Linked DNA regions of Oryctolagus cuniculus. The protein of the gene in region 5 purifies or fractionates together with the protein of the main gene of each other region. This does not show direct contact. Links are inferred from orthologs where the notes say so. Each region holds a gene or a part of one and is shown on either strand. Other genes may lie near its edges.

Region 1 (5,930 bases), on a different chromosome or scaffold from region 5:
GAAGCGATTAGGCATTGTGCAGACATCCCCACTTGAGACTGGGCATTGCAGAGGGGCACCTCCCTGGTTCTGTTGCTGTGTGCATCTGTTAGCAGGCCTTCTGCCGCGAAGAGCAGCTCTCTGGGCAGGCGTTGTGGTGCCACGGTTAGGCTGCCATCTGGGACACCCACATACTGCGCCACTTTTGATTCCAGCTTCCTGCTAATGCACATCGGGGAGGCAGCAGTGGTGGCTTAAATAGGTGGGTCCCTGCCACCCGTGTCGTCTGGGGCTCTTGGCTTCTGCCTGGCCCAGCCCCAGCTGTTGTGACCATTTGGGGAGTGAACCAGCAGATGGAAAATACTCTCTCCCTCTCCCTCTTTCCCTCTTTCCCTCTCCCTCTCCCTCTCCCTCTCCCTCTCCCTCTCCCTCTCCCTCTCCCTCTCTCTCTCTCTCTCTAACTCTGCCTTTCAAATAAGCCAAATGGTTTTTTAAAAGTTCAAACATTTATAACAACCCTTCAAAATTAGACCTTCAAATAGAATAAGATATCTAAGTTGAATGTGAAAGTTTGAAGGATATCCAGGATTTTTGAATTTGTGACTTTAATATTTCAAGTATCAATGTTTCAACTAGACTAAAATTCAGATATTTCTATGCATAAAAAGTGCTTTTAGATGGGAAGATAAGAATACTCATTGTCAGTGGCAGTGTTCTGCTTTGCCTGTCTTCCAAGCGTGCTGACCCTAGTTACTCGAGGTCTGTGACTGGCAGGATGCTACGGTTTGTGGCACTGCTGCTGGTATGACTGGCTTATCCTCTGGGCCAGTTCTCCAGCTCTTCTGTCCAACTTCAAGTAGAGGGGACCTGCTTTAGTGACTGCTTGTACTGTAGAACGTGGCTTCACTGGTCGTGTTTTACTTCTCGGAGCTTTGTAGAAATTAGTCCTTTTTTATAGTTTCTTTATAAAAAATGATTTACTTATTGGAATCAGAGTTAGAGAGAGAGAGGGAGGGAGGGAGAACCCAAAAAAGAGAGAGCGCTTCCATCTCCTGGTTCACTCCTCAAATGGCCATGACAGCCAGTGCTGGGCCAGGCTGAAGCCAGGAGCCAGGAGCCTCATCGGGGTCTCCCATGTGGGTGACAGGCACTGCCACTCTCCCCTGTTTTCTCAGGCACATCAGGAGGGAGCTGAATTGGATGGAGCCAGAGCAGCCAGGTGTGGAACTGGTGCCCGCAGGGGATGCCGGCATCGCAGGCAGGAGCTTAACCTGCTACACCACAAGGCTGGCTTTTTTTTTTTTTAAGGATTTACTCATTTATTTATTTTAAAGTCAGAGTTATACAAAGCAGGAGAGGCCGAGAGAGAGAGAGAGGCCCTCCATCTGCTGGTTCACTTCCCAAATGGCCGCAATGGCCAGAGCTGCACCAATCTGAAGCCAGGAGCCAGGAACTTCCTCCGGGTCTCCCATGCGGGTGCAGGGGCCCAAGGACTTGGGCCATCCTCCACTGCTTTCCCAGGTCACAGCAGAGAGCTGGATCGGAAGTGGAGCAGCTGGGATACAAACCGGTGCCCATATAGGATGCTGGCACTGCAAGTGGCGGCTTTACCCGCTACGCCACAGCACCGGCCCCAATACTGGCTTTGAAATTAGTATATGTGGGGTTTTGTTAAGTCAGAAATACTTGTTTAGATGATAGAAACCACATTTGAAGTGTCTTAACCTTAGCTATATGGTGACTTTAGTGAACCTGAATTGATTTTTTTTATTTTTTATTTTTTGAAGTGGTAACCTTTTTCTTTTTTTCTAGAAAGAGAGCTCCCATGTGCTGGTTCTCTTCCCAGATGTCCACAAGAGCCAGTACTGGGCTGTAGCCAAAACTTGGAGTCAGAAACTCAATCCACATCTCCCATTTGGGTGGCAGTTCCCAGTCACTGAGCTGTGGCTGCGGCCTCCCAGGACAGGAAGCTGGACTCAGGAGCTGGGGATCAAAGCTAGATGCTCCGTGTGAGACATGGGAGTCTCAACCGTGAGGCCAGGCATCCTCCTCAGGCCTTTCAGTTTCCTCATTTCTTTGGAAACGTCTTTCTTTTCTTGAACATCATTGGAGCTATAGCTAGTAGTCATCCTCCAATCAGATTTGAGTGGTTAACATTCTGTGCTGGAATGTGTCTGTTCTTTCCGTTAACTGACTTTTTATGGTTTTGAAAAAGCAGTACATATCTTTTCTACTTAGTTCAAACCAAAAAGCAATTATTTGGTTAGAAATGAAGTCCGTTGGCTTAAAGAATGTCAAGGCTTGTGGGTCAAAGAGCTCTGTTCGCCTAGAAGGTCAGCCGTGCTCCTTAGGCCAGAGCAGAAGGAAGGTCAAGCTTATGGATGAGCGGTCGTATACTCTGTCCATTGGCAATGGAGACTACTTTTGGACAGATAAAGACACGCTGTGGAATTATGTGCAGTCTCTGTCTGGTAAGAAGTGAGCAGTTACAAATAATGGACATTGAAAAAACATTCTAAAACTGACTACAAAAATGAATACTCTTAAAAAAAAAAAAAACTTGAGAAGCATAGATAAGCAAACATAATTTTTATCTTGGGTGGCTGTTTAGCGTGGTGGTTGGGATGCCACCCGGAAGCCCACATCCCTCACTGGAGTGCCTGGGTTCACGTCCCGGCTGCTGCTGACCCAGCTTCCTGCTGAGGCACACTCTGGGAGTAGCAGATGCTGGCTCAAGTGCGTGGATTCCTGCTGCCCAAATGGGAGACCCGGGTTGAGATCCCAGCTCCTGGCTTCAGCCTGGCCCAGCCCTGGGCGTTGTGAACATTTTGGTTGTGAGCCAGTGGATGAGAGCTCTCTCTGCCTCTCAAAGAAATATTTTTTTTTTTTAAGATTTAGTTATTTAGGCCGGCGCCATGGCTCACTAGGCTAATCCTCTGCCTGTGGCGCCAGCACACCAGGTTCTAGTCCCGGTTGGGGCGCCAGATTCTGTCCCGGTTGCCCCTCTTCCAGGCCAGCTCTCTGCTGTGGCCAGGGAGTGCAGTGGAGGATGGCCCAAGTGCTTGGGCCCTGCACCCCACGGGAGACCAGGAGAAGCACCTGGCTCCTGCCTTCGGATCAGCAAAGTGCTGGTGGCCGCAGCGTGCTGGCTGCGGTGGCTGTTGGAGGGTGAACCAACGGCAAAAGGAAGACTCTCTCTCTCTCTCACTGTCCACTCTGCCTGTCAAAAATAAAAAAAAATTATTTATTTACTTGAAAATCAGAATTACACAGAGAGAGAACTAGAGGCAGAGGGAAAGAGAGGTTTTGCATCCGCTGGTTCACTCCCCAGATGGCTGCAACACCTGGAGCTGCGCCAATCCAAAGCCGGGAGCCGGGAGCTTCTTCTGGGTCTCCCAAATGGGTGCAGGGTCCCAAGGACCTGGGCCATCTTCTACTGTTTTCCCAGGCCACAGCAGAGAGCTGGATTCAAATTGGAACAGCTGGGACTCGAACCTGTGCCCATTTGGGATGCCGGCACTGCAGGTGGCAACTTTACCCGCTACGCCACAGCTACGCTGACCCCTAAGAAATATTTTTAAATTCGTTGTTTAAAATTTTATGGTGAGTATTTGTGGAATGGGAGATTTTGCTTCGATCTAAAACTTATACCTTGCCTTTTTTTTTTTTTTTTTTTTTCAGTTAATGTATTTATCTGAAAGAGTTACAGAAAGAGAAAGAGATGTTCCATCTGCTGGTTCACTGCCCAAATGGCCAAGGAGCCTGGAACTCCATCCAGGTCTCCCATGTGGGTTGCAGGATTCCAACTCTCAGGCCGTCACCCGCTGCCTTTCCCAGCACGTTAGCAGTGAATTGGATTGGAAATACAGCAGACAGGTCTTGAAACTGCTGCTCATTTAGGATGCTGGCATCGCTGGCGGAAGCTTAAACCCATTGCTCCGCAGTGCAGGCCCCATGAACACTGATTTATCTGCTAACTTTATCAGAATTAACATTTCTGGGACTGGTGTTGTGCCAGAACTGGTCAAGCAGCCACTTACAGCACTAGTATCCCACATGAGTGTAGGTTTGAGTACTGGCTGCCCCACTTTTGATCCTGCTCCCCCCCACCCCATGCACCTGGAAAAGCTACCCTTTTGTGGCCATTTGGAGAGTGAACCAGCAATGGAAGATCTTGCTCTCTTGCTCTCTCCTCCTCCCCTCCCCCTTCTTCTCTCCCTCCCTAACTCAGCCTTTCAAATAATCTTTTCTAAAAAAGAAAGAAGTAACATTTCACAGAATGCCCTTCTTATAGGGCAGATAAGTTCTTAGATTGATAGGTTCTCAAAAGCAGATTATTGTTAGTATAAATGTGATTTGAGAAGGGTGTAGACATTTCACAGTAATCTAAGGCGGTCTGTAATCAAGTTACACTAAATTAACTTCATTGTCAATTTGTGTGGTTAAAGATTTATTTATTTATTTAAAAGTCAGTTACAAAGAGAAAGATGGAGAGAGAAAGACCTTCCCTCCATTGGTTCACTGCCCAAATGGCCGCACCAGCCAGAGCTGGGCCAGTCCAAAGCCAGGAGCCAGGACCTTCTTCTGGGTCTCCCACATGGGTTCAGGGACCCCAACACTTCAGCCATTCTCCGCTGCTTTTCCCAGGCACGTTAGAAGGAAGCTGGATCGGAAGTAGAACAGCCGGGACCTGAACTAACGCCTTTACGGGTGCTGGTGTTGCAGGCAGCAAAGCACAACGCCGGCCCCCACTTTGTGTGTTTAAAGTACAGACATAAGTGTATTTAAAAAAATAACCATAGGAAGCCTTAGTTGTCCTGGCAGAGGCAGAGGGAAAGGGAGCTGGTGGTTATTTAGCGTTTCCAGCTAAAGACAGGCCAAGAATAGACTGTACCGACTGAGTGACAGGTTCCAAGGCGTGTGCCCGTTTCCTTACACCATACTGGCTCTTGAAAGAGGAAGGCTGGGAACCCCCGCTGGCTGCTGGCACATCTTAGGCCAGCGGTTCCTAGTTAGCTCTTCTGACCGCTGATTCTTCGAGATGCTCCTGGAATGTGGGTTTCTAGGCAGTTACCAAAAAATGCCCAGACTGGGGCAGGCATTTGGCCTAGCAGTTAAGACACTGCTTGGGACCCTCGTATCTCATAGCAGAATGCCTGGATTTGCCCGGCTCCTCTCCAGACCCCGGATGTGCACCCTAGTGGGAGCAGATGTCACCCCTGTGGGAGACCTGGATTGGGTTCTTGGCTTCTGACTTCTGCTTGGCCCAGCCTCTCCCGCATCTGTTGTGGGAATCTGGGGAATGAACCAGTGCAGTGGGTCAGAGCCCTCTGATAAGATTGTAAGTGTTACAGTTTGGTGGGTTCTCACACTCTGAGCACACCACTGGATCTTTAGCAGACTCCGCTAGCTTCCTCAAGGTAGCTGCTTATCTGCCTTATGTTAGTTTTGGGCTGGCATTTAAAAATTTTATTTTTAATTTTTTAATGTTTGTTTACTTTCATCTACTTGAAAGAGTGTCAGAGAGAGATCTAGTGATTGATATTCCATTGCTGGTTCGCTCCCCAAATACCCATAACAGCTGGTGCTGTGGCAGGCCAAAGCTAGAAGCCCAGAACTCCATTCAGGTCTCCCACGTGAGTGCAGGGGCCCAAGGACTTAGGCCATCCTCCACTGCTTTCCCAGGCCACAGCAGAGAGCTGGATAAGAAGAGGAGCAGCCGGGACTGGAACTCGGCGCCCATATGAAGTGGTAGGATTATTGACGCGGAGAGCAAATTAGTGGGAGCTAGGAGTAAGGAGGAGGGGAGGAAGTGTGTGTAGCTGTAAAGTAAAAAAGAGAGCATCCCGGAGTTGATGGCTGTGTGCGTCTTGACTGTCCCTGTGTGCGTCTTGACTGTCCCTGTGTACGTCTTGACTATCCCAGTGTGCGTCTTGACTGTCCCTGTGTAC
Region 2 (5,207 bases), on a different chromosome or scaffold from region 5:
TCAAGAGCTAGGAGCCTCTTCCAGGTCTCCCACATGGGTGTAGGGGCCCAAGGACTCAAGCCATCCTCTGCTGCATTCCCAGGCACATTAGTAGGTAGCTGGATCTGAAGTAAAGCAACTAGAACTTGAACTAACGTCCATATGGGATGCCGGCCCTACAGGCCAAAGCTTTAACCCACTGTGCCACAGTACAGGTCCCTGTGTCTGGCTTCTTTCACTCAACATTAAGTTTGAGTTCTTCCTTATGTCTGGTTGTAGTTTATTACAGCTCTTCCATGATATGATTATAGCACAATTTACATATATTTATCCATTCTATTAAAATATATTTTGGAGGCCAGCGCCGCAGCTTACTTGCCTAATCCTCCACCTGCGGCGCCAGCACCCCAGGTTCTAGTCCTGGTTGGGGCGCTGGATTCTGTCCTGGTTGCTCCTTTTCTAGTCCAGCTCTCTGCTGTGTGGCCCAGGAGGGCAGTGGAGGATGGCCCAAGTGCTTGTGCCCTACACCCACATGGGAGACCAGGAGGAAGCACCTACCTGGCTCCTGGCTTCGGATCGGCACAGCGCACCGGCCGTGGCAGCCATTTGGGGGGTGAATGAACAGAAAAAAGGAAGACCTTTCTCTCTGTCTCTCTCTCTCTCTCACTAACTCTGCCTGTCAAAAAATTTAAAAAAAAATTAAAAAAAATACATTTTAGAATTATTTCTAGTATTTGGCAATTATAAACAATGCTTCATTGAACACTTCTATGTCTACTTTGAATATATATATCCGTTTTTGTTCAGTATGTATCTAGGAATGGATTTTTTTTGACAGGCAGAGTGGACAGTGAGAGAGAGAGACAGAGAGAAAGGTCTTCCTTTACTGTTGGTTCACCCCACAATGGCCGCCGCGGCCAGCGCACTGTGGCCGGCGCACCGCACTGATCCAAAGCCAGGAGCCAGGTGCTTTTCCTGCCATCCTCCACTGCACTCCCAGGCCACAGCAGAGAGCTGGCCTGGAAGAGGGGCAACCGGGACAGAATCCGGCGCTTCAACCAGGACTAGAACCTGGTGTGCCGGCGCCACAGGCAGAGGATTAGCCTAGTGAGCGCAGCGCCGGCCATCTAGGAATGGATTTTAAGTATACCAATATATACTTCCACCAGCAGCATAGGAGAAAGAATTCTAGATGTTTCACATCCTTACCAAATGTCATATTTTTTATTTTCTAGATAGCCACTCTTGTTAGTGTTTAATGCTATCTTTCCTTGTGATTTTCATTTGATTTCTCTGATGACTAATAAAATTGTATGTCTTCATCTCTGTTGGCTATTTCACCAGCACTTTTTTGTAAAGTGCCTGCTCAAGTCTGAAAAATTTTTCCTTTTTTTAAATAGTTGACTTAACTGCCTTTTCCTTATTAATTTATAGGCCTTCTTTATCATTCCTTTATTGAATATATATGTATGTTACACATATTCTCTGACTTGCCTTTTTACTCTCTTAATGGTATCTTTTGTTGAGAAGAACATTTTAATTTTAATATAGTCCAGCTTATTAGTATTTCAGCTAGTACTCTTTTTTTTTTTTTTTTTAAGGTTTTATTTTATTTGAAAGGCAGGCTTATGGAGAGAAAGGGAGAAACAGAAAAGAGAGAGAGAGCTTTCGTCCGTTGGTTCACTCCCCAGGTGGCCACAGCGGCCCAGGCTAGTCCAGGTGAAAGTCACGAGCCAGGAACTTCATCCAAGCCTCTCATGTGGGTGACAGGGACCCAAATACTTAGGCCATCTGCTGCTTTCCCAGGCACATTAGCAGGGAGCTGGGTCAGAAGTGGAGTAGCTGGGACTTAAACTGGTGACCATATAGGATGCCAGCATTGCAGTTGGCCCCCTAACCTACTATGCCACAGTGCTGGCCCCCTAGCTAGTACTTTCTGTGTCCTATTTAAGAAATCCCAATGTTATGAAAATAACTATGTTTTTTTTTACTGTCATTATTTTAAAACTTTCACATTTAGAACTTTCACATTTAGTACATGTCTTGATGTCTCAAAACATCAAAAAGCTCTTGTTGCTTGTTTGCTGGTGGTAGTCCCTCTGGTAGTGCAGAGCTTGGATTCTCAGTCTGCTGCCCATACCTAGAATCCATAAGTGTACCCAGGACAAAAGAAGCTGCTGAAGGTAGCTCTCCTCTGAGATTTTCTCTCTCTCTCTGGAGTTTTAACCTCTCCAGTCCTTATGTCTTTTTTTTTTTTTTTTTTTTTTGACAGGCAGAGTGGACAGTGAGAGAGAGAGACAGAGAGAAAGGTCTTCCTTTGCCGTTGGTTCACCCTTCACCCTCCAATGGCCGCCGCGGCCGGCGCGCTGCGGTCGGCGCACCACGCTGATCCGATGGCAGGAGCCAGGAGCCAGGTGCTTTTCCTGGTCTCCCATGGGGTGCAGGGCCCAAGCACTTGGGCCATCCTCCACTGCACTCCCTGGCCAGAGCAGAGAGCTGGCCTGGAAGAGGGGCAACCGGGACAGAATCCGGCGCCCCGGCCAGGACTAGAACGCGGTGTGCCGGCGCCGCTAGGCAGAGGATTAGCCTAGTGAGCCGCGGCGCTGGCTAACCTCTCCAGTCCTTATGTCTTAATACCTGGTGCCTTCAGAAAGATGGTTTCTGTATTTTACCTGGCTTTTCTGAATGTTCTCTACAGAGAAAATGGTTTGCCACTGGTTATTCCATCTCTCTTAGAAATTTAAATTATCAGCCAGCGCCGCAGCTCAGTAGGCTAATCCTCTGCCTGCGGCGCTGGCACCCCAGGTTCTAGTCCCGGTCGGGGCTCCGGATTCTGTCTGGGTCGCTCCCCTTCCAGTCCAGCCCTCTGCTGTGGCCCGGGAAAGCAGTGGAGGATGGCCCAAGTGCTCGGGCCCTGCACCTGCATGGGAGACCAGGGGGAAGCACCTGGCTCCTGGCTTTGGATCGGCACAGCTCACTGACTTAGTGTGCCGGCTGTAGCGGCCATCTGTGGGGGTGAACCAATGGAAGGAAGACCTTTCTCTCTGTCTCTCTCTCACTGTCTAACTCTGCCTGTCAAAAAAAAAAAATTAAAATATCATTTTAGCTTTCTAAACATACGTGAGTCTTTCAGAGAAAACATACCAACACTTTGATTGATCCTGCATCTCCTGCTTGTACATTATATCACCAAAACAGCTTTTGCGTCAACATCACTATATCCAAAAGACATTCCTCCTCCTTGTTTTACCTGATCTAGTTACTTGTGACTTTGTGACCACTGTTTCTTTTTGAAAGTTTTTTTCTTTACTTGGCATGCATGATAAGTTACTGTCTTGGACTTCCTTCTAGCTCTGGATTTTTCTCCATGGCTGGTGTCATCTTCCTGTACTACAAATTCTGACAGTTCTTCAGGATTTCTATCTAAGCCTCTTCTCTTTTCATTGCCATCCTCCTTGGTGATCTCATCAATATCATGCCTTCACTTACTACCTGTACCTAAATATTGCAAAAATTTGTATCTCTGTTTCAGACTACTCTGTTGAGCTTCTAACGACTATACCCATTTGCCTGGTTGACATCTTTGCTGGGATGATCAAAAAGCACAAACTCAAAATGTCTCAAAAAGAATTTATAATCTGTCTTCTACTTCAAAGTTATTTGTAAAAATCTGTTTCCTTATGTATCTTGTCTAACAGAGTCCCTTAAATATCTCTTTAATCTATTTGTTTCTTGACAACTCATCGCATTTTTTTTTAAGATTTATTTTACTTATTTGAAAGTCAAAGTTACAGGGAGAGAGGGAGAGACAGACAATCTGCCATCCACTGGTTCACTCCTTAAATGGCTGCAACGCCCAGAGCTGGGCCAGACCGGAGCCAGGTGCCAGGAGCTTCTTCTGGGTCTCCCATATGGATGCAGGGGCCCAAGCACTTGGGCCATCTTTTGCTGCTTTCCCAAGTGCAATAACAGGGAGCTGTATCTGAAGTAGAGTAGCTGGGACTCGAACCAGTATCCATATGGGATGCCGGCATCACAGGCACCAGCTTTACCCGCTACACCACAACGCTGGCCCCTCATCTGCCTTCTTAATCTACACTGTCATCGCCTCTTCTGTCGATCAGCCTCAGAAGCCTGTTCTTTTTCCCACAGCGTGGTCCTCTTGCTTGCCTTTGTAGTTACTGTGCTCTACCAGTTTCTCAAACATTTTGCAAACTTCTAAAAGAGTGCATTTTTGCCATGTTTTCCTCTGCCTGAAGTACTTTCTCCAACCCTCCTTTTCTTTTCTGTGTTCTTTGCTACCTTCAGATTTCAATTTAGTCATTACCAGTCATCCTTTCCTGACTAGGTTGTTGTCCCTGGTTCTACATTCTTACAGCTCCAGCAAGTTTTGTTGTAGCATATGTCTATATTGGGATTTTCATGGTTTTTAACGTTAGTCACTACTTAATAAACACACTAAGAGTAGGGACTTCATGTGTTTCTGGTCACCATTGTATTTCCTGGTACCTCATATACTGCCTGACATTTAATAGGCATTCAGTAAATATTTGTTGAGTGCACTAACCAGTTCTCTCTGCCTGTAGCTGAGGTGAAACGTGTTGGAGATACGCTCTTGGGAATGGCTACACAGTGTGTGCAGGTGAAGAACGTGGTCAAGACCTCGCCTCAGACTCTGTCCAACCTTTGCCTCAAGATCAATGTCAAACTCGGTGGCATTAACAACATCCTAGTTCCACACCAGCGGTATGAACTCTGTTGTCTGCTTGCCCTTGTCAAGGTACCATATGGGGATTAATGAAGAGATAGGATCCTGACCAGGCAGAGTGAATCAGACATAAGGGGAAAGACCAGAATGGGTGCTGGATGGTACTAGAGAGAGAAGACCCAATTCCTCACCATTTTGTTTTTCCTTCCTTGCTCAGCTCTGCTGTCTTTCAACAGCCAGTGATATTCCTGGGAGCAGATGTTACACACCCCCCAGCCGGGGATGGGAAGAAACCTTCTATTACAGCAGTGAGTGATACTTTCCAGCTTCCTCACAAAGTTCTCCTCTTGGCCCCAAGTCCCAAATACTGCGCAGGATTTCTTTTCCCTCATCTCTGGCCCTTAACCCTTCATAAGATCTCCACCATCTCACCATCCCCATTGCTTCCTCCCTTGTCATCTTCTTAAAGTTAACTTTGTATGGTTTGGTGTCTTTTTGTCAGGGAGAATAGTGAAAGTAT
Region 3 (5,987 bases), on a different chromosome or scaffold from region 5:
TGCCCGATCCAAAGCCAGGAGCCAAGAGCTTCCTCCGGGTCTCCCACACAGGTGCAGGGGCCCAAGCACTTGATCCATCTTCCACTGCTTTCCCAGGCCATAGCAGAGAGCTGGATAGGATGTGGAGCAGCCGGGTCTCGAACCAGCGCCCACTTGTGATGCCAGCACTCCAGGCCAGGGCATTAACCCACTGCACCACAACGCTAGCCCCTTTTTTTGAGAGAGAGAGAAGAGCTCCCATCTCTGCTGATTCACTCCTCCAAATGCCCAATGACCCTTACTTGGGGGAAAAGCTGGGAGGCTGGAACTCAATCCAGGTCTTGGGTGGCAGGAACCCAATAATTTGGATCATCTCTGTTGCCTCCCAGGGTCTGTATTAGCACAAAGTTGGAGTCAGGAGTGAAGTGAAGCCATGTGTTGAACCCAACCTTTTTTTTTTTTTTTTTTTTTTTACAGGCAGAGTGGACAGTGAGAGAGAGGGACAGAGAGAAAGGTCTTCCTTTGCTGTTGGTTCACCCCTCAATGGCCGCTGCGGCCGGCGCACTGCACTGATCCAAAGCCAGGAGCCAGGTGCTTCTCCTGGTCTCCCATGCGGGTGCTAGGCCCAAGGACTTGGGCCATCCTCCACTGCACTCCTGGGCCATAGCAGAGAGCTGGACTGGAAGAGGAGTAACTGGGACAGAATCTGGTGCCCCAACTGGGACTAGAACCCAGTGTGCCAGTGCCGCAGGCGGAGGATTGGCCTATTGAGCCGCGGCACCGGCCTGAACCCAACCATTTTGATATAGAATGCGAGCATCTGGGACCTGTGCTTTGGCACAGCGGGTTAAGCCGCTGCCTGCAGTGCCAGCATCCCAGAAGGGCCCCAGTTTGATCCCTGGCTGCTCCACTTCTGATCCTGTTCCCTGCTAACAGAAGATGGCCTGAGTGCTGGTGCCCCTGCACCTTTGTGGGAGACCTGGATGAAGCTCCTGGCTCCTGCTTGGGTCCAGCCCAGCCCTGGTCTTTGTGGCCATTTGGAGAGTGAACCAGCAGATGGAAGACTTCTGTCCCTGCCTATACCTCTCCTCTGTGATTCTGCCTGTCAAATAAATAAATAAGTATTTTTAAAATCTTAACCACTAAGCCAAATTCCCACTCCTTATAGGATTTTGACATCTAAGCACCTGTGTCAGATGAGTTTGAGAGACCTCTGAGTTCGGGTATTTTCCTCTTGGTCTGGAACCCCTTTGAGTCCTAGAGAAGTTTAAATTCTTGGGTCTTTTTATGAAGGTCTAAATACTTTATTTTTTTTCAAAAAGATTTATTTATTTGAAAGAGTTATACAGAGAAAGAGACGGAAGAGAGAGTCTTCCATTCGCTGGTCCACTCGGCGCTGATCTGAAGCCTGGAGCTTCTTCAGGGTCTCCCACGCGGGTGCAGGGGCCCAAGGCCTTGGTCCATCTTCTTAATGCTTTCCCAGGCCATACCAGAGAGCTGGATCGGAAGAGGCGCAGCCGGGACTAGAACCGGCGCCCATATGGGATGCTGGCGCTTCAGGCCAGGGCGTTAACCCGCTTCGCCACAGCGTGGGCCCCCGGTCCAAATATTTTAAACCTGCATCCTCCACAAAGCGTGTCTTCCACTGAGTCCCTCTCCATGGCCTTTAGAAACAGTAAAAAGTGCCCAGAGACATCTCCCAACCTGGAGTCTTTCAAGCTCACTGGCCCCGAGAATCCCTCAGCGTTTTCTGTTGGTAAATCCTATGCGTGTTCGGAAGGCAAACGTCCCCGTTGGCTGTGCCCCCTTCCCTCTGAGGGACTACTGCACCAGCTAGGGGAATTTGTCAGCTGGGGAGCCCTATTCACTGGGAATATTACGGGGCCTCTGGGGAGCAAGCAGTCACCGATGGGAATTTTAGATGGATGCTTTTGGGCCATGTCAGGAGTGTGGCTCCTGCTTCCTTTTTTCTCACCCATATCTACACATGATAGGAAATACCAGCGAGTTTCGGGGGCAGCAGGGTCAGAAGTGGCGGGGTGGCTCACAGGAGCGCCGCTTGGAGAGGGGGTGGACCAAGCCACGCCGGGAATACCCAGGAATCGCCGGCCAGCACCCTGCCTTGGGCGCCCCTCAGTCTGACTTTCTAAAGTTACAGAGAGCATAAAGGCTCGGCTTCTAAGTCTAGGGCTAATTTCATTCAAATAGGGTTAAGCAAGAAACTACTTTTCACACCACGGAAACGCCGGGCCCGCCTCCACTTGTCCCCATCGGCACACCGTAACTCCGTTTCGCCTCGCTCTTGCGTCACACACGTTCTCCGGGGCCGTCAGTACCTGGCTCCTTCCGATTGGCTTCGACATGTCCCAAGCCCTTCCTGATTGGCAGCGGCAACTATGAACCCGCCCTTCTTCCCGCCGTAAAGTTCGGTTGAGCTGGAGGCGCGGGGGAGAACTAGGGAAATTGGAATTTCCCACGTAGCTGACGGCGCTTGCTCTCGTACTACTCGTTTTAATTCCACGCGCTCCAAAATATCCGCCATGGAGAAATCTTGGTAATGACCCATTCCCCCGTAGGCATCCCAGGAACACATCTGACCCTTGCCCTAATCTCCTCCCCGCCGCCGGGGGAGAATTCTGGGTAACCGATTTCTCAGGTTCCCCCAGAGAATTCTGGGTAGCTATCCGTTTCCATCACCCTCCCCTACCCCCACCCTACTCGTGCATAAGTGGCCATTCTTGTTTTCCCCAAAGAATCCTGGGTAACTATTGCTTAGGATTCTGGGAAACTGACATCTCTAGTTCCCCTCACCACTCAAAGCCAGTTCTGGGGGAAAAGCTCCTTGGACCCCTCAACCTAGCTCTACCCGCTATGGTTCCCGCTGCCTTCACCTGTCCCAGGGTTGAAGTCTCCCGAATGAGCGGGTCTGAGGGAGGAGGGAGGGAAAGCAAGGATGAGGTCGGACAGCAGGGCGGTGAGAAGAGAGGGCCCAGAGGAGAATAAGGATAAGTGTTCCCACCTCCCCACCCCTGCCTGCCTGCTTCGTCCTCTCCCTGCCATCTCATCCCTTCCGCCAGCCTCGCGGCACCCCTGCCCGCATAACCTAGGACCAGTACCCAGGCCTACCCGTGACTCAGTTAACCTCTTTCCCTTTGCAGGCCAGGATGTTCAGTCTAGGCCCTCTGGTGCTGTCTGGCTGAAGGCTGGGCCCGGCATCTAAAGGGACTGTGGCAAGGGAGGGTGCGACACAGGTCTGATCAGCTGCCTGCATCATGAACTTTGAGGGTCTGGACCCTGGATTGGCAGAGTATGCTCCGGCTATGCATTCCACCCTGGACCCTGTCCTGGATGCCCACCTGAACCCGAGTCTGCTACAGAATGTGGAGCTGGACCCGGAGGGAGTAGCCCTGGAGGCTCTTCCCGTCCAGGAGTCGGTGCACATAATGGAAGGCGTCTACTCTGAGCTGCACAGCGTGGTGGCTGAAGTGGGCGTGCCTGTCTCCGTCTCTCACTTTGACTTGCACGAGGAGATGCTGTGGGTGGGGAGCCACGGGGTAAGAACTGTATCCCTTTGTGGGGGAGTGAAAGGAGCTGCTGGCAGTCTCTGGTCTCTGCCCAAGGAGAGCTGCTTTGCCCAGAGTTAGAACTGAGTGGAAATGATGAGTGAGTTAGCTGGGGCTCTAAATCCAGACCAGAGGGTGGAGGCAGAACGGGGGGCCTAGGATCCAGGGATGAGTTACACAGATATTCGTTCTCAGGAGGCATCCTACTTTAGCCTGTTTGCCCTTCTTGTTTTGATTAATCTTGATAATTACCCATCAGTTAGACTATAGCCACCTAAACCTAATCTCTAATGGCTTTCTCTGTTTTCCATGTTTATAATTATAGAATGTTTAGCGAATGTGTCTGTATACCTTACAAGGAATTGTTTTGTCTTCTCAGGTTGATTTAATCTCAGAGAAGTTATCAATGTGATTTAAAAAAAAAAAAAAGATTTATTTGTTTGAAAGGCAGAGTTACAGAGAGAAAAGGAGAAACAGACAGAGATTTTTCCATCTGCTGGTTCACTCCCCAAATGGCCACAAAGACTAGGGCTGGGCCAGGCCAAAGCCAGGAGCTTCATTCAGGTCTCCCATGAGGTTGCAGGGGCCCAAGGACTTGGTCCATCTTCCACTGCTTTCCCAGGCACCTAGCAGGGAGCTGGATCAGAAGTGGAGCAGCTGGGACTGGAACTGACACCCATATGGGATGTGGGTGCTTCAGGCCATGGCTTAACCTGCTGTGCCACAGCGCCAGCCCATCAATGCAATTTTTAAAAATATGTTTCCATATTGCCAATATATTATGGAGCCATAGATTTTGTAAGAAATAATATGCTTTGGGGCCGGCGCTGTGGTGTAGTAGGTTAAGCCTGCAGTGCCAGCATCCCGTATAGGTGCTGGTTTGAGTCCCACCTGCTCCACTTCCAATCCAGCTCCCTGTTAATGGCCTAGAAAAGCAGTAGAAGATGGCCTAAGCCCTTGGACCCCTGCACCCAAGTGGGAGACCAGGAAGAAGCTCCCGGCTTCTGGCTTTGGATCCACCCAGCTCTGGCCATTGCGGCTATTTGGGGAGTGAACCAGTGGATCGGAGACCTTTCTCTCTGTCTCTCCCTCTTTCTATCTGTAACTATGCCTCTCAAGTAAATAAATAAATCTTAAAATAATAATAATAATGTGCTGCCCATTGTTTACTAATTTACCTTATGGGATGCTGGCACTGTAGGCAGCGGCTTTACCTGCTATGCCATAGCACTGGCCCCTAATTTACCTTTTACAGGACATGAATTGTTTTTCCATTAGAAGGGATGGATTTTTTTCTTTGTGACTTATTCCGTTTAGTAGGCAGTATCTAGGCAGAGAAGAAAGCTGAGTAAAACAGAATCCTTTCCCTTGAGGACTTTATGGGACACTGAAGAAGAAAAGATTTAAACAGATAATTCCATGGTGCTAAATGCCAGTGTGAAAATAGTTACTGCAGGGTCAGAGAGGGCCTTCCTTCACTTTACTTCAGGAAGTGATACCTGACTGCTTTTTGAGCTACCTGCTTGGTGCCAAACCCTGCTATAAGGTTTTAAGTTTGGAATGAGCAGTAAACAAATTAAAAAAATACAATATTCTCAGATGTTGGTTTGTACTAAAAAAAAATTACAGTGTAGTTAGGGAGGTGAGACAGTGAGGGGTGGGAGATGGTACTATTTTAGATCAGAAGATGTCTGATAGAGTCACCCTTGAGTAGAGAGACCTGGATCCAGGCTAGGATGACCATTCTATGTTTTCTAGAAGGAAGAGAAGGAACCATGCAGATATTTGGAGAAAGAACCTTCTAGGGAGCTTCATATGCTGTGTTGAAAGAGTTTAGATTTGATCATCCCGGATTTCTATCTGGAATGACAAGGTGTGGCTTGCCTCTAGGTGGAATGCTGAAGTAGCAGCATATAGTTTGGCTTAAAGAAGATGGAGCAGACTACTGTAGCAGCTCACATAAAATGTGACAAAGGGGGTGGGCATTGTGTCCCAGCAGACTAAGCTGTCACTTGGGATTCCCACATCCCATATCAGAGTGCCTGGGATCCAGTCCCACCTCTGCTTCCCATCCAGCTTCCTGCTAATGTCCACCCTGGGAGAACAATGAGTGACAGCTGAAGTACTTGATTCCTTGCCACCCATGAGAGAGACCTGGAGTTCCTGGCTCCTGGGCTCAGCCTGGCCAAGCCCTGCCTGTTACAGGCATTTATGGAGTGAACCAGCGGATGGAAGACGTCTTTGTCTCTCCTTCTGTGTCACTCTGCCTCCCCTCCAAAAAAAAGAAAAACATAAACAGCAGGAATGAAGGCCTGAAGGATGCACTGCTAAGATGGGTACATAAGAACGGACTTGGGAAATATTTAGAAAGTGAAATAAACCGGACTTGACTATTCTATGACTTAGTCAACTGAGTGGATCAGGTAACATAGAGAATATAGTACG
Region 4 (5,792 bases), on a different chromosome or scaffold from region 5:
AGAGACTTGAATGGATGTCATGGTGCAACAGGATAAGGGGCTGCTTGGGACGCTGCATTCCACGTAGGGAAGGAGTGCCTGGGTTGAGTGCTGGCTACCTTGTGCTTCTGATGCTGCTTCCTGCTGATGCACCTGGGAGGCAGCACACAATGACCCCAGTGCTTGGGTCCCTGCCACCCACATGGGCAACGTGGCTGGAGTTCCATTGTCCTTGTGTCAGCCTGGGTCAGCTTTGGCTATGGCAGGCATTTGCAGAGTGAACCAGTAAATATGGAAGACTTCTTTGTCACTACCTTTCATTCAAATCTTTTTTTTTTTTTTTTATTCAGTTGGATTGAATCAGTGTTCAAATCCTGCTCCATCAGTGTCAGAATGATAGTAGCTCCCCTTGAGGGTTCATCACCATGTCTTCTGGGAGAAGCTAAGGAAGTTTGCACTCGTTTGGGGAAAAAATTTTTGACACGAGGTTTGTGTCTTAAGGATGTGATAGACCCTTGCAGAGTTGATATTTCCCCTGTAAGATGTTGCCACCAAGATTTGGGTTGTGTACAATAATTGAAAATGACTTTTAGGATGCAGTGAGTGTTTCATCTGGTGACATTTATTTTGATATTTTAAAAATGGGGAGGGTATTTTCAGTCACGGGGGGTAGGGATCTGAAGGAAGAAGATGCAGAATTGGGGTCAAGGTTTTCAGTTTCCTCCAATTATTATGTATTTATTATATGGTAGATGTAGCTAATCAGTGCTTCGAGTGGTGACTACAGCAAATGCTTTTGTTACTTATAACATTCAGGGAGTTTTCATTGTTCTTTGTTCCCTAACCTCAGCAACTGGTAAGGTACCTGCTGTTATTCCCGTTTTTTAGATGAGGAAACTGAGGCCTAAAGAGGTCAAGTGACTGTTCCAAAGTCCCACACCGAGGGGGTGGGAGATGAAGATATGAAGATAGAATTTTTAAAAAAAAACTTTCCTTTTAAAAAGTCAATGAGTTTAGATTAAACAAAGTCTAAACATTACTGATGCTTAGGGACATAGGGAAAACCATGAGTCATTGCTTAGCCTGTACAAAATTGTATCATGTTTCATTAAGGCAACAAGTATTAAGGACCGACTATTTGCCTGACAATGGCTGGACCTGGTTTTCTTAACAAAACATACGTTCTAGTGCGGGAAGGGAGGAGCACTGGATGAAGTAAACTAAACGAATTAGACTCGGGGGAGGATTTTGAGAGTAACGGGTGGTCCAGGAAAGAGCGCTCCGAGATGACTGGCACATGAGAAGCAGCGAGGGGCGTGCGTGCTTGCGTGCGTGTGTGCAGTAAGTCAAAGGGAGGAGGAGAGGGTTCCTGGCCAAGGGAACCAGAAGCCAAGAGGCTCCAAGTCAGATCAAAAGCAGCACTTGACCGGCTGGGGGAACTGGACGCAGACCGGTGTAGCTACCGCACAGTCAAGAGGCAGACTGTGAGTTTCAGCAGAACGGCGTTTTAACCCCGAAAGGAGTTTGGGTTGTTCAGTGCGACGAGGCGCTATTAAAGTTTTAAACGTGCAAATTATGTAACAGCTTCTTTCTTAATCATTGTTTCCCAAACCGTATTGTATATTTCCGCCCCCCCCCCCCAGCGGGGGGTGGGGGAGAAGGTCGTTAAGACAACGCTATGGGCTCGGACATCACTCGCAGGCGTGACCGCCTGCGAGGCAGCGGCGCGCGGGACGCCTCAGCTGGGCGCGGCCGGGAGGGTCGGGAGGCGGGTCGGGACCGCAGCCGGCCAGGCACGGCTGCTCCAGGTAGGCGCTCCTCAGGTAAGCTGGGGCCCGCAGCTATGTCGCCTCAGGCAGGGCACCGCCCTCACCAGGGTGGCGCGCGACGTGCGGCGGTCTCCCACCGGGGACTGCTCGGCGCCCGCGCCCTGACACCTCCCCGGCGTCCTCCGCGCTGGCCGCTCCCGCACCGCTCGGGTCCCGGAGGCGAGGCGAGGCGTGGACGCGGGGCGAGCCGGGCAGCGGAACTGACGCCGGCGGGCTTCCGGGGACGGCCCCGGGGAGAGCGGCGGCGGCGGCGGCGGCCCGCAGTCGTGGAGGAGCGGCGGGAGCGTCAGCGGCTGCGGGCGACGCAAGTTCCGGACAGGGCTCCCCTCTCCTCGCCTCACGTCTCTCCTTCCTCTGGTCTAGTCCAGTGCTGTCTCTCGACGGCGGCTCTTCCGGCCGAGCGCCTTCGGAGTGCGGGTGCTGAGGGGAAGCCGCCGCCGCCCCCGCCTCGGGGCAGAGGAAGGGTGCGTGTCGCGCCGCGTCGCCCCCCGGCACCGCCTCCTGGCCCCCAGTGGCGGCCCCGTTCTCGCTGGAAGCACTCCCCCCAGCTCCATGAATGGAAATCGGCTCCGCAGGTGAGTGAGTCAGAGCTGCCGGGTGCGTGGCGGCGTCACCCCTCTGCGGCTCCCCCACCCCGAGCCTCGCGGCTCCCCCTGCCCCGGCCCAGGTGGGCGACGTGAGCGCGGTGCCTGCGTCCTCCGTCTCCCGCCCCTCCGCGGCTTTCCCGCAGCGCCGCCGCAGGTCCCTGGGGGCCACCGAGTTGGGCGAACCTGCTCGGAGGGTTCAGAGCGGGGTTCTGTGGGCGCGGTGACTCCTCCTTTCCGCGGTGCCCGTCTCCGCACCCGTCGCGGCTGTTAGGCCAGCTGACGGTGCGGCGGGGTGCGTGTCCTTTAACCGGGCTGCGTGTCCCGCCGCCGCCTCACCTGCCTCTGAAGGTAGCTGGGGAGGCACATGGAGGTGACCGAGGAGAATTGGGTGTGAGATCGGTGTTGCTGCCACGGCCAGCGCAAGATGGCATTGCTGTCGTCCCCGAGCGCCCCGCCGGTGCCTCTGGCTGCATGGAGAGTTTTCGAGCTGCTTTGGAAACGTCCTGGATCGCTGCTTTTAGGAGATGGGTCTTAAAATCGCTGATAGCATCCCCCACCACCACCTCTCCAGGCTCCATTACCTAGAGAAGCAGTTATCAGATTCTTGGAAATTTGGATTTTAGAAAAACTACCTTCTCTCCCTGAGGGAAACAGGGGCGTCTTGAGGGAAAATTGCAACAAGGACAGTACTTGTCTTTTAAAAAGCAAAGGCAGTCTCTGTGGTTCTAAAGTAATTAGTTAGGGATATAAAGTAGGTATTACATAACGGTTTGTTTACCAAATGATCATGCTTGGTATGTCAGTTTTGGATGTCTGCTTCATCCAGGTGATAGTTTATAAATTAATATTTGAAATATTTGAGGTAGGGTATCATTGCTAATATTATTACAATCCTGAGTTTCACATCTCTTTTTGCTAAACTTGAGAGGTACCTGAACACAGCAAAAGCTTATGTAAAAGGAACCAATGACATAAAGATAAATAGTTTGTTGAATAGGTTATGGAGTGTTATTGTCAAATGGCTTTAATAAAGCAGTCAGAAATGGTGGGTGTGGGCTGGGAGAGTTTATTATAAGTTTGATTAAGTGGAATTTTCTCCATATCCTCTTGAAAATAGAAAATTTGTTTCAGCCTCTTAATTTTTAATAATTTGCTTCCAAAACTGTGTCTGCCCTTGTTTTGAAATATTCTACCTCAGGATTTGTTTTTACTGTGCAGGAAAGCTGGTTTAGGGCTATAGATGAGTTTTCCATAACTGTCCTGTTTTCAAGCCTGAAAAAGCATGAAAGTTAAATATTTTATTAATCATCCTATAATTTTTAATGATATTTAGAAAATTTTTGAAATGGCTTTCTCCTTTCTTTTTTTCATATGAAATTATGCCCAAATAAATGGCAACATCTGGGAAGATACTTGTGCCATCAAACCATCTACTTAACTGGTGCAACTAGCTAAGTATGGCTCTGAAAAAAGTTTTATCTCTTCTTTTTGGGTGCCCATTGCTGAAATATATACCCAGTTAGCTGTGAAATTATGGATTCATCAATCATGCACTTGTCCATCTTGAAACGTAAAGTTATTCTTCAGTGCAGTTTATATGTTACTGACTGTAGTCTAACAAGCTATGCTTTGGCTCAAGATTGTCATCAAAAACAAAACTTTAATTTTTTCCTGAGAATTATATGTAATTGTTATGCTGAATGGGAAGTTGAAAGCATAATGGAGAAGCATGTGCAGCTAACTTTTAAATCCAGAGTTTGAGATACATATGTAGTTTCAAATTGTTTAGTTGTAAGTGTTCTCTAATAGAATATTTGGTTGGTATTAAATCTTGGTGACTTTGTGTGTGTGGAGATTTTCAGGTGTCATGTTATGATAGGATATTTTAAATTCTAGTTGTTACACTGACACGTAGAAAACTATTCAGTATGTTAGAGGACTTCAGATACAGATACCATGTAATTGCCTCTTCTATTTATGTATTTATTTGAAAGGCAGAGTTAGGGAGAGAAAGAGAGAGAGAGGTCTTTCCTACGCTGGTTCACTCCCCCAAATGCCTATAACAGCCGGGGCCAGGCCAGGCCAAAGTCAAACTGCATCTGGATCTCCCACATGGGTGACAGGGACCCAAGCCATCTTCCACTGCTTCCCCAGGGATGTTAGCAGGATGGGAAATGGAGCAGCTGGGACTCAAACCAGCACTCACAGGTGGTGGCTTAACTCACTGTGCCACAATGCCAAGCCCCGTGAAATTGTTTCTTGATGAATCATTCCTCACTAAAAGTCAATATTTGTCTGTTCTTCCCTTTCACATGAAATATTTTAAATGATTCTTAAATATGTCATATAGTCTACTGATTCAGTACTGTCTGAACTTTGCTTTAACAAAAAAAAACTGACATAGTTTTTAAAATAATAATAGTAGTTTAGCGTCTGTACCTGTGACTCCTTAGGGGAACTTGTGATGAAACCCTGTTTGTTTATGGTCTAATTGCAGCCAAACTAAAAGGATAGATTGTTCAAACAAAGCGGGAATAGGGACAGCAGAAATGTTCCTTGAGATATCATGTCTAGGTGCTTGTTTTTTAGAACATACTATTCTATTTTTAGGTTAAGTCAGACTATTGTTTAGAATGGAAGGAGTTATACTTAATAATGGAAGGGAAATATTTACTTTTACCCTGAATTAATAATATGCAAATTGATGTAAAGTTTGCTAGTTGGCTTTTTGTTTGTTTGTTTAAGATTTATTTATTTGAAAGGCAGAGTTAAAGAGAGAGCTCTTCTACCTGCTGATTCACTCTCCAAATGGTGGCAATGGCTGGGGCTGGGCCAGGTCAAAGCCTGGAGCCTGGAACTCAATCTAGGTCACCCCATGGGTGACAGGAGCCCAAACACTTGGGCCACCTTCTGCTGCTTTCCCAGGCACATTGGCAGGGAGCTGGATCTAAAATGGAGCAACTGGATTTGAACTGGGGTTCATATTGGATGCCAGTGTGGCATGCGGTAAATTAACCCACCATGTGCCATTCATTGATAGTTGCTTCATACATGGTCTTGCAAAAGTGAATCAGGGCCGGCGCCGCGGCTCACTAGGCTAATCCTCCGCCTAGCGGCACCGGGACACCGGGTTCTAGTCCCGGTTGGGGCGCCGGATTCTGTCCCAGTTGCCCCACTTCCAGGCCAGCTCTCTGCTGTGGCCAGGGAGTGCAGTGGAGGATGGCCCAGGTGCTTGGGCCCTGCACCCCATGGGAGACCAGGAAAAGCACCTGGCTCCTGGCTCCTGCCATCGGATCAGCGCAGTGCGCCGGCCGCAGCACGCTGGCCGCTGCGGCCATTGGAGGGTGAACCAACGGCAAAGGAAGACCTTTCTCTCTGTCTCTCTCTCTCACTGTCC
Region 5 (6,007 bases):
CCAGCAGCTGTGTGCCCACGCTTTCTTAGGCTTCAGCTTTCGAGACCATCTCTCTCCGACCTCTAAGCTGAGATTTAAGGTCACCAAGCCTACCTGGATGGTGTATCTGACTTGGGATTTGAGTTACATATTTTAAAATACCTTCAAAACAGTACCTGAATTTGTTTGATTGAATATGCGGGAGAGGGTATGTTGACTGTGGACTTGGACTCTTGGAGGGGTCTTAGAATTGTGCCTGCTGGGGCCTGGCGCTGTGATGTCGCGGGTAAAGCTGCTGCCTGGGACTCTGCTGCCCCACGTGGGGTGTTCCTGCTGCTCCAGTTCCAATCCGTCTCCCTGATAATGGCCTGGGAAGCAATGGAAGATGGCCCATGTATTGGGACCTGTGCACCCACATGGGAAACGCAGATAAAACTCCTGGCTCCTGACTTCAGCTTGGCCCTGAGCTGGCCATTGTGGCCATCTGGGGAGTAAACCAGCAAATGGAAGATTCTCTCTCTCTCTCTGTAACTCTGACTTTCAAAATAAATGAATAAATCTTAAAGGGGGGGGGGGGGGCAGCACTGTAGCGCAATGGGTGAACACCCTGGCCTGAAGTACTGGTATCCCACATGGGTGCTGTTCGAGACCCGGCTGCTCTACTTCTGATCCAGCTCCCTGCTGTGGCCTGGGAAAGCAGAAGATGGCTCAAGTCCTCAGGCCCCTGCACCCACGTGGGAGACCCAGATGGAGCTCCTGGCTCCTGCCTCTAGCCTGGTCCAGCCCTGGCTGTTGGGTGCATGTGGGGAGCGAACCAGCAGATGGAAGATCTTTCTCTGTTTCTCTTCCTCTCTGTCACTCTTTCAAGTAAATAAATAGATAAATCTTTTAAAAATTAATTTGTAGGTTTAAAACAATTATAATTTTTAAAAACATTTTTTCTTTTAGAACAAATAATGACTCATTTCATCCAGAAGGGTGAGGACAATCGGGAGAAAACTTTTGAGGTGATGAAAGGAAACTGGTGGTGGCAGAATTCTGAGACTTCAATGCTTGAAGCTTCTTCCAGGTCTCCCACGTGGGTGCAGGGGCCCAAGGACTTGGGCCATCCTCCACTGCTTTCCCAGGCCATAGCAGAGAGCTGGATTGGAAGAGGAGCAGCCGGACTCCACTGGTGCCCATATAGGATGCCGGTGCTGCAGGGGGAAGATTAGCCCATGACACCATAGCGCCAGCCCTGAATATTAAATTTTATAAAAATAATTATTTCAGGGGCCGGTGCCATGGCTCACTTGGTTAATCCTCCACCTGCGGTGCTGGCATCCCATATGGGTGCCGGATTCTAATCTAGGCTGCTCCTCTTCCAGTCCAGCTCTCTGCTGTGGCCTGAAACACATTTCGCACGTTTTACATCTCCAGAATTGCTGTTTGCCTTACATCCAGTGGGATGCGTATAGCAGGGCGTGATCGGCAGCATTTCTTTCTTAGTGATGCACAGAAGCACTGTGCGTCGTCTGTCTGAGGCGTCTTAGGTTGGGTAGAATGCAGTGCTTTGTAGCAGGTCCACCTGGAAGGGCCGCTGTGTAGCTGTGCCGCGCCGTCGTCCTGCAGGAATGGAGGTCCTTCTGCGGCTGCGTAGGCAGTTGGTGCCGCCTTCTCCTTTGAGAAGCCCTACCCAAGTGCTTCTGGTCATGCTCCGTGGAGTCCAAGCTTATGTATCATTCGGTCACCTAACACACAAGCTCAGATGTGTGTGTATACGCATCGCTTTGTTTCAGAAGAGTCACCCTGTATTGGGGACGTCTGCAGAAGCGGGCCGGTGCCCCGGCCCAGAGTCGCCATTAGCCCCAGAACGCATCCTCATCTTCCTGCGGGAAGAAGCTTCACTGAGTGCATCTGGAGCCCTCTCCCAGCCTCCCTGTGTGGGGCCGTGGGTGAGGGAAGACCCTGCAGACCTCCCAGATCCCTGTGTGGGGCCGTGGGTGTGAGGGAGACCCTGCAGACCTCCCAGCCTCCCTGTGTGGGGCCGTGGGTGTGAGGGAGACCCTGCAGACCTCCCAGCCTCCCTGTGTGGGGCCGTGGGTGTGAGGGAGACCCTGCAGACCTCCCAGCCTCCCTGTGTGGGGCCGTGGGTGTGAGGGAGACCCTGCAGACCTCCCAGCCTCCCTGTGTGGGGCCGTGGGTGTGAGGGAAGACCCTGCAGACCTCCCAGCCTCCCTGTGTGGGGCCGTGGGTGTGAGGGAGACCCTGCAGACCTCCCAGCCTCCCTGTGTGGGGCCGTGGGTGTGAGGGAGACCCTGCAGACCTCCCAGCCTCCCTGTGTGGGGCCGTGGGTGTGAGGGAGACCCTGCAGACCTCCCAGCCTCCCTGTGTGGGGCCGTGGGTGAGGGAAGACCCTGCAGACCTCCCAGCCTCCCTGTGTGGGGCCGTGGGTGAGGGAAGACCTTGCAGACCTCCCAGCCTCCCTGTGTGGGGCCGTGGGCGTGAGGAAGAACCTGCAGACCTTCCAGCCGTGGACTGGAGAGGCGGGAGGGCGGCCGGCGGGAGGGCGCTTAAGCCACCAGCTGAGATGTACTCGTTCCATCCGAGTGTCTGGACTCGAGCCCCAGCTCTGCCCCGCTTCTGTCTTGCTGCTGACGCACACCCTTCGAGGAGCAGATGACGGCTCAGGTCGTTGGGTTCCTGCCACTCATGTGAGAGACCTGGAATGAGTGTTAGATGCCCAGCTCCAGCCCAGCCCTGGCCCTTACAGGCATTCGGGGAGGGAGCCAGCAGGTAGGAGCGCTCTTGTATCTGTCTGTCTCCCCCCATCCTACTCCCTCCCTCCCTCCCTCCCTTTCAAATAAATAAAAGTAAAATGTAAAAGAAATTTAAAGGCTTTTTAAAATATGTATTTGTTTATTTGAGAAGCAGAGTTACAGAGGGAGAGACAGAGAGGTCTTCCATCCGCTGGTTCACTCCCCAAATGGCTGCAACAACTGGAGCTGGGCCAATGCAAAGCCAGGAGCCAGGAGCTCCTTCCCGGTCTCCCACGCAGGTACAGGGTCCAAGCACTTGGGCCATCTTCTGCTCTTCCAAGCCACTAGGGAGCTGGATTGAAGGCGGAGCAGCCATATGGGATGCTGGTGCCACAGCCCCGGCCCCAAGAGCATGCACTCTTTGGGGGTGCTGTGCAGTATGGCGGATGCGGTGAGTGACATTTGACTGACAGTTCAGTCACTGTGTGAGCACATGTGGCCTTGAAGGCTCAGGTGGTGTCCATTCCAACAAGGTTGCTTTGAGGAGTGACTGAGATCATGGATCTCAATGATCTGCACAGCCCAGTGCCTAGTAAGTTACAGTTCTTGCTGCCCTTGGGTTTTCCAGAGACTGCGTAACTCGATGCTGGCTGCTTGCTTGTGTGTGTTTCCACTGGAACTTGGTATTTATGGAGGATTCTTTGATTGTCTAAGTTTTGTCTTTGGATTAAGCAAGACCATCAGAAACCTTCACACTTGGACTGTCTCTGGCTGTCCAGAGAACTGCTGAGTTTTCCCATCGGGCTTTTTGACTCGCAGGAGGCTGCGAGAGCGCGTCTAGTAAAGCCGCCACTGCAGATTTGAGGGCCTCAGCGTCGCTGTCTGGGCAAGAGCGCGTCGCCTGTGCATCCGCCGCTCTGAGGACGGAGGCTGTCGTGAGGGTGATCTGGTAAACTGCTAGTTGCTTCCCCGATAGGGCAGATTGTAAGTCAGTGCCCTACACGTATGAACCCGTTACTAGACCTGATTCTGCTCAAGTCTTGGGAGAGGTAAACTCTAGGTGTAATATTGTAAGAAATCAGGGTAGGCATTGTGGCGTAGTGGCTAAGCTGCTGCTTGGAGAGCCTGGGTCAAGCCCCGGCTCCTCTCGTTCCCACCCGGCTCCCGGCTGATGCGCCCTGGGAGGCAGCAGTGAGGGCGCAAGCACTTGGGCCCCTGCCCCCACGTGGCAGACACAGATGGGGTTCATGGCTGCTGGCTTCAGCCTGGCCCAGCCCTGCTGTTGCCACCATCGGAGGAGTAAGCCAGAGATGGAAAGTCGATCAACTGATCTCTCTCTCTCTCTCTCTCTGCCTTTAAATAAAATGAAAACAAATAAAAATTTAGAAAACAAATCAATCAAAATGATGGCAGTTAGCAGGATGTACTTTATGACAGTCTTAGGAAACATTTGCTTTTTGAAATTGGTGCCTGGACATGGGGCATGCAGTACATACAGCCTACACACTGTGAGTATTACAGTTGTTCAAAGGGGCCGGTGCTGTGGCGTAGCGGGTAAAGCCGCCGCCTGCAGTGCCAGCATCCCATATGGTGCCGGTTCGAGTCCCGGCTGCTCCACTTCCCATCCAGCTCTCTGCTGTGGCCTGGGAAAGCAGTGGAAGATGGTGCAAGTTCTTGGGCCCCTGCACCTGCGTGGGAGACCCGGAAGAAGCTCCTGGCTTTGGATCAGCGCAGCTCCAGCCATTGTGGCCAACTGGGGAGTGAACCAGTGAATTGGAAGACCCCTCTGTCTCTCTCTCTGTCTCTGTCTCTCTCTCTCTGCCTCTTCTCTCTCTGTGTAACTCTGACTTTAAAATAAATAAATAATTTTTTTTTAAAAAACAAGTTGTTAAAAGGCGGGAAGTAGCTTAAAAAGTAGAAAGGGCAGTTTGTGACTCTAAAGGGGCGGGATGGGGGGGGGGGTTCCGCGGCCCAGCGGTTGGTGTGCTGTTCCTGATTGCTGAGGGAGGGGCTAGCTCCTGAGCCTAATTGTGTCATAACAGTGCAGCCCATAACAGCATAACAGGACACTTTTCTCTAATCAAGTAGTTCCTCCAGGATTTCTGTCGGGACTTTTTTTTTCTTTTTTTGCAATCTAAACTTGGTATAGGTTTGAAAATAAAATTTTTCTATAATTTGTATTTTTCAGATAAGTTTTCTTCCTCAATGCTGAAATAAGAGTTTTCATATTTCACATTTTTATGAGACATATCAACAAACCTCTTAGTATCTGTGTGTTTTTCCTGCAACAATATAATTTGTCAAATTTTTTTCTATTTAGGTCAACATTTGAGTGCTTTATCAGCTTATTACTCTAATATGTACATTTTTTTAAAAAGATTGATTTATTTATTTGAAAGGCAAGGTGATAGGCAAAGAGTCAACCATCTGCTGGTTCACTCCCCAAACACCCACAACAGCCAGGGCTGGCAAGCCAGAGCCAGGAGCTCCACCTGGATCTCCCCTGGGTGGCAGGAACCCAACTACTTGGGCAGTTGTCTGCACTCCCAGTTGCATTAGCATAAAACTGAATGGAAGGTGGAGGTAGGGCTCAAACCCAGGCACTCTGATGTGGAATGCAGGCATCCCAGATCACTACACACCCCGGCACCTCAGCACGAACCCTTGAAGCGGCCTCTCCCCTTATCCTTGCGTGAAACCCCGGGCTTCACAGATGTCTTGGGGCCAAGGGGCGAGTGGATGATGGTGTCAGGAGGCTCTGCCCAGCCCTGGCACACATGCCTGTTCTACATTAGATCGCAGCTTTGGGCACGCGTTAGCGTAGTGGCTCCTGGAGCTGAGCCCACTCCGCTGACCGTGCTTCCAGCTCGCAGAATCACAGAGACTGAAGGAAGCGTGAGAGACCCTCTGCAGCCCAGCTCTCACCCTGCTGGGCCCCAGGCCCTTCCCTCACCTCAGGGGCTAGTCACTGCTCAGCGTGCATGCTGCTGGCACGCAGTCCTTTTTCCTTCATGACCATCTCTCGAGTTGCCCCAGTACTCTAAAGCTGGTGGAATGTAAAGCTGTTGTGAAGGTAAAAGAAAGTACTGTTGGGGCCGGCACTGTGGTGCAGCAGGCAGAGCTGCCGCCTGCAGCGTCGGCATCCCACGTGGGCGCCGGTTCAAGTCCCAGCTGCTCCACTTCCGATCCAGCTCCCTGCTGTGGCCTGGGAAAGCAATAGAGGATGGTCCAAGTTCTTGGGCCCCTGCACCCACGTGGGAGACCTGGAGGAGGCTGCTGGCTCCTGGCTT

Evidence for each region.
Region 1: the proteins of TNRC6C (region 5) and CNOT10 purify together in Homo sapiens (co-immunoprecipitation; 3 studies listed by BioGRID and IntAct, with this or other methods). This does not show direct contact. The link is inferred for Oryctolagus cuniculus from reciprocal best matches to the Homo sapiens genes TNRC6C and CNOT10.
Region 2: the proteins of TNRC6C (region 5) and protein argonaute-1 purify together in Homo sapiens (affinity purification with mass spectrometry; 5 studies listed by BioGRID and IntAct, with this or other methods). This does not show direct contact. The link is inferred for Oryctolagus cuniculus from reciprocal best matches to the Homo sapiens genes TNRC6C and AGO1.
Region 3: the proteins of TNRC6C (region 5) and PAN2 purify together in Homo sapiens (affinity purification with western blotting; 3 studies listed by BioGRID and IntAct, with this or other methods). This does not show direct contact. The link is inferred for Oryctolagus cuniculus from reciprocal best matches to the Homo sapiens genes TNRC6C and PAN2.
Region 4: the proteins of TNRC6C (region 5) and protein argonaute-3 purify together in Homo sapiens (affinity purification with mass spectrometry; 3 studies listed by BioGRID and IntAct, with this or other methods). This does not show direct contact. The link is inferred for Oryctolagus cuniculus from reciprocal best matches to the Homo sapiens genes TNRC6C and AGO3.

What each region holds. Positions count from the first base shown.
Region 1 is NC_091435.1:169,316,062-169,321,991, forward strand, and holds the start of CNOT10 (CCR4-NOT transcription complex subunit 10), read left to right. Parts: upstream 1-2,159; 5' UTR 2,160-2,179; coding exon 2,180-2,450; intron 2,451-5,930. UniProt on the Homo sapiens protein: Component of the CCR4-NOT complex which is one of the major cellular mRNA deadenylases and is linked to various cellular processes including bulk mRNA degradation, miRNA-mediated repression, translational repression during translational initiation and general transcription regulation.
Region 2 is NC_091438.1:136,728,675-136,733,881, reverse strand, and holds part of protein argonaute-1, read left to right. Parts: intron 1-4,565; coding exon 4,566-4,725; intron 4,726-4,904; coding exon 4,905-4,995; intron 4,996-5,207.
Region 3 is NC_091442.1:59,145,855-59,151,841, reverse strand, and holds the start of PAN2 (PAN2-PAN3 deadenylation complex catalytic subunit PAN2), read left to right. Parts: upstream 1-2,386; 5' UTR 2,387-2,533; intron 2,534-2,645; exon of another isoform or gene 2,646-2,740; intron 2,741-3,137; 5' UTR 3,138-3,251; coding exon 3,252-3,533; intron 3,534-5,987. UniProt on the Homo sapiens protein: Catalytic subunit of the poly(A)-nuclease (PAN) deadenylation complex, one of two cytoplasmic mRNA deadenylases involved in general and miRNA-mediated mRNA turnover.
Region 4 is NC_091438.1:136,707,370-136,713,161, reverse strand, and holds the start of protein argonaute-3, read left to right. Parts: upstream 1-2,019; 5' UTR 2,020-2,364; coding exon 2,365-2,383; intron 2,384-3,830; exon of another isoform or gene 3,831-3,850; intron 3,851-5,792.
Region 5 is NC_091448.1:3,394,188-3,400,194, reverse strand, and holds the start of TNRC6C (trinucleotide repeat-containing gene 6C protein), read left to right. Parts: upstream 1-2,436; 5' UTR 2,437-2,686; coding exon 2,687-2,754; intron 2,755-6,007. UniProt on the Homo sapiens protein: Plays a role in RNA-mediated gene silencing by micro-RNAs (miRNAs). Required for miRNA-dependent translational repression of complementary mRNAs by argonaute family proteins.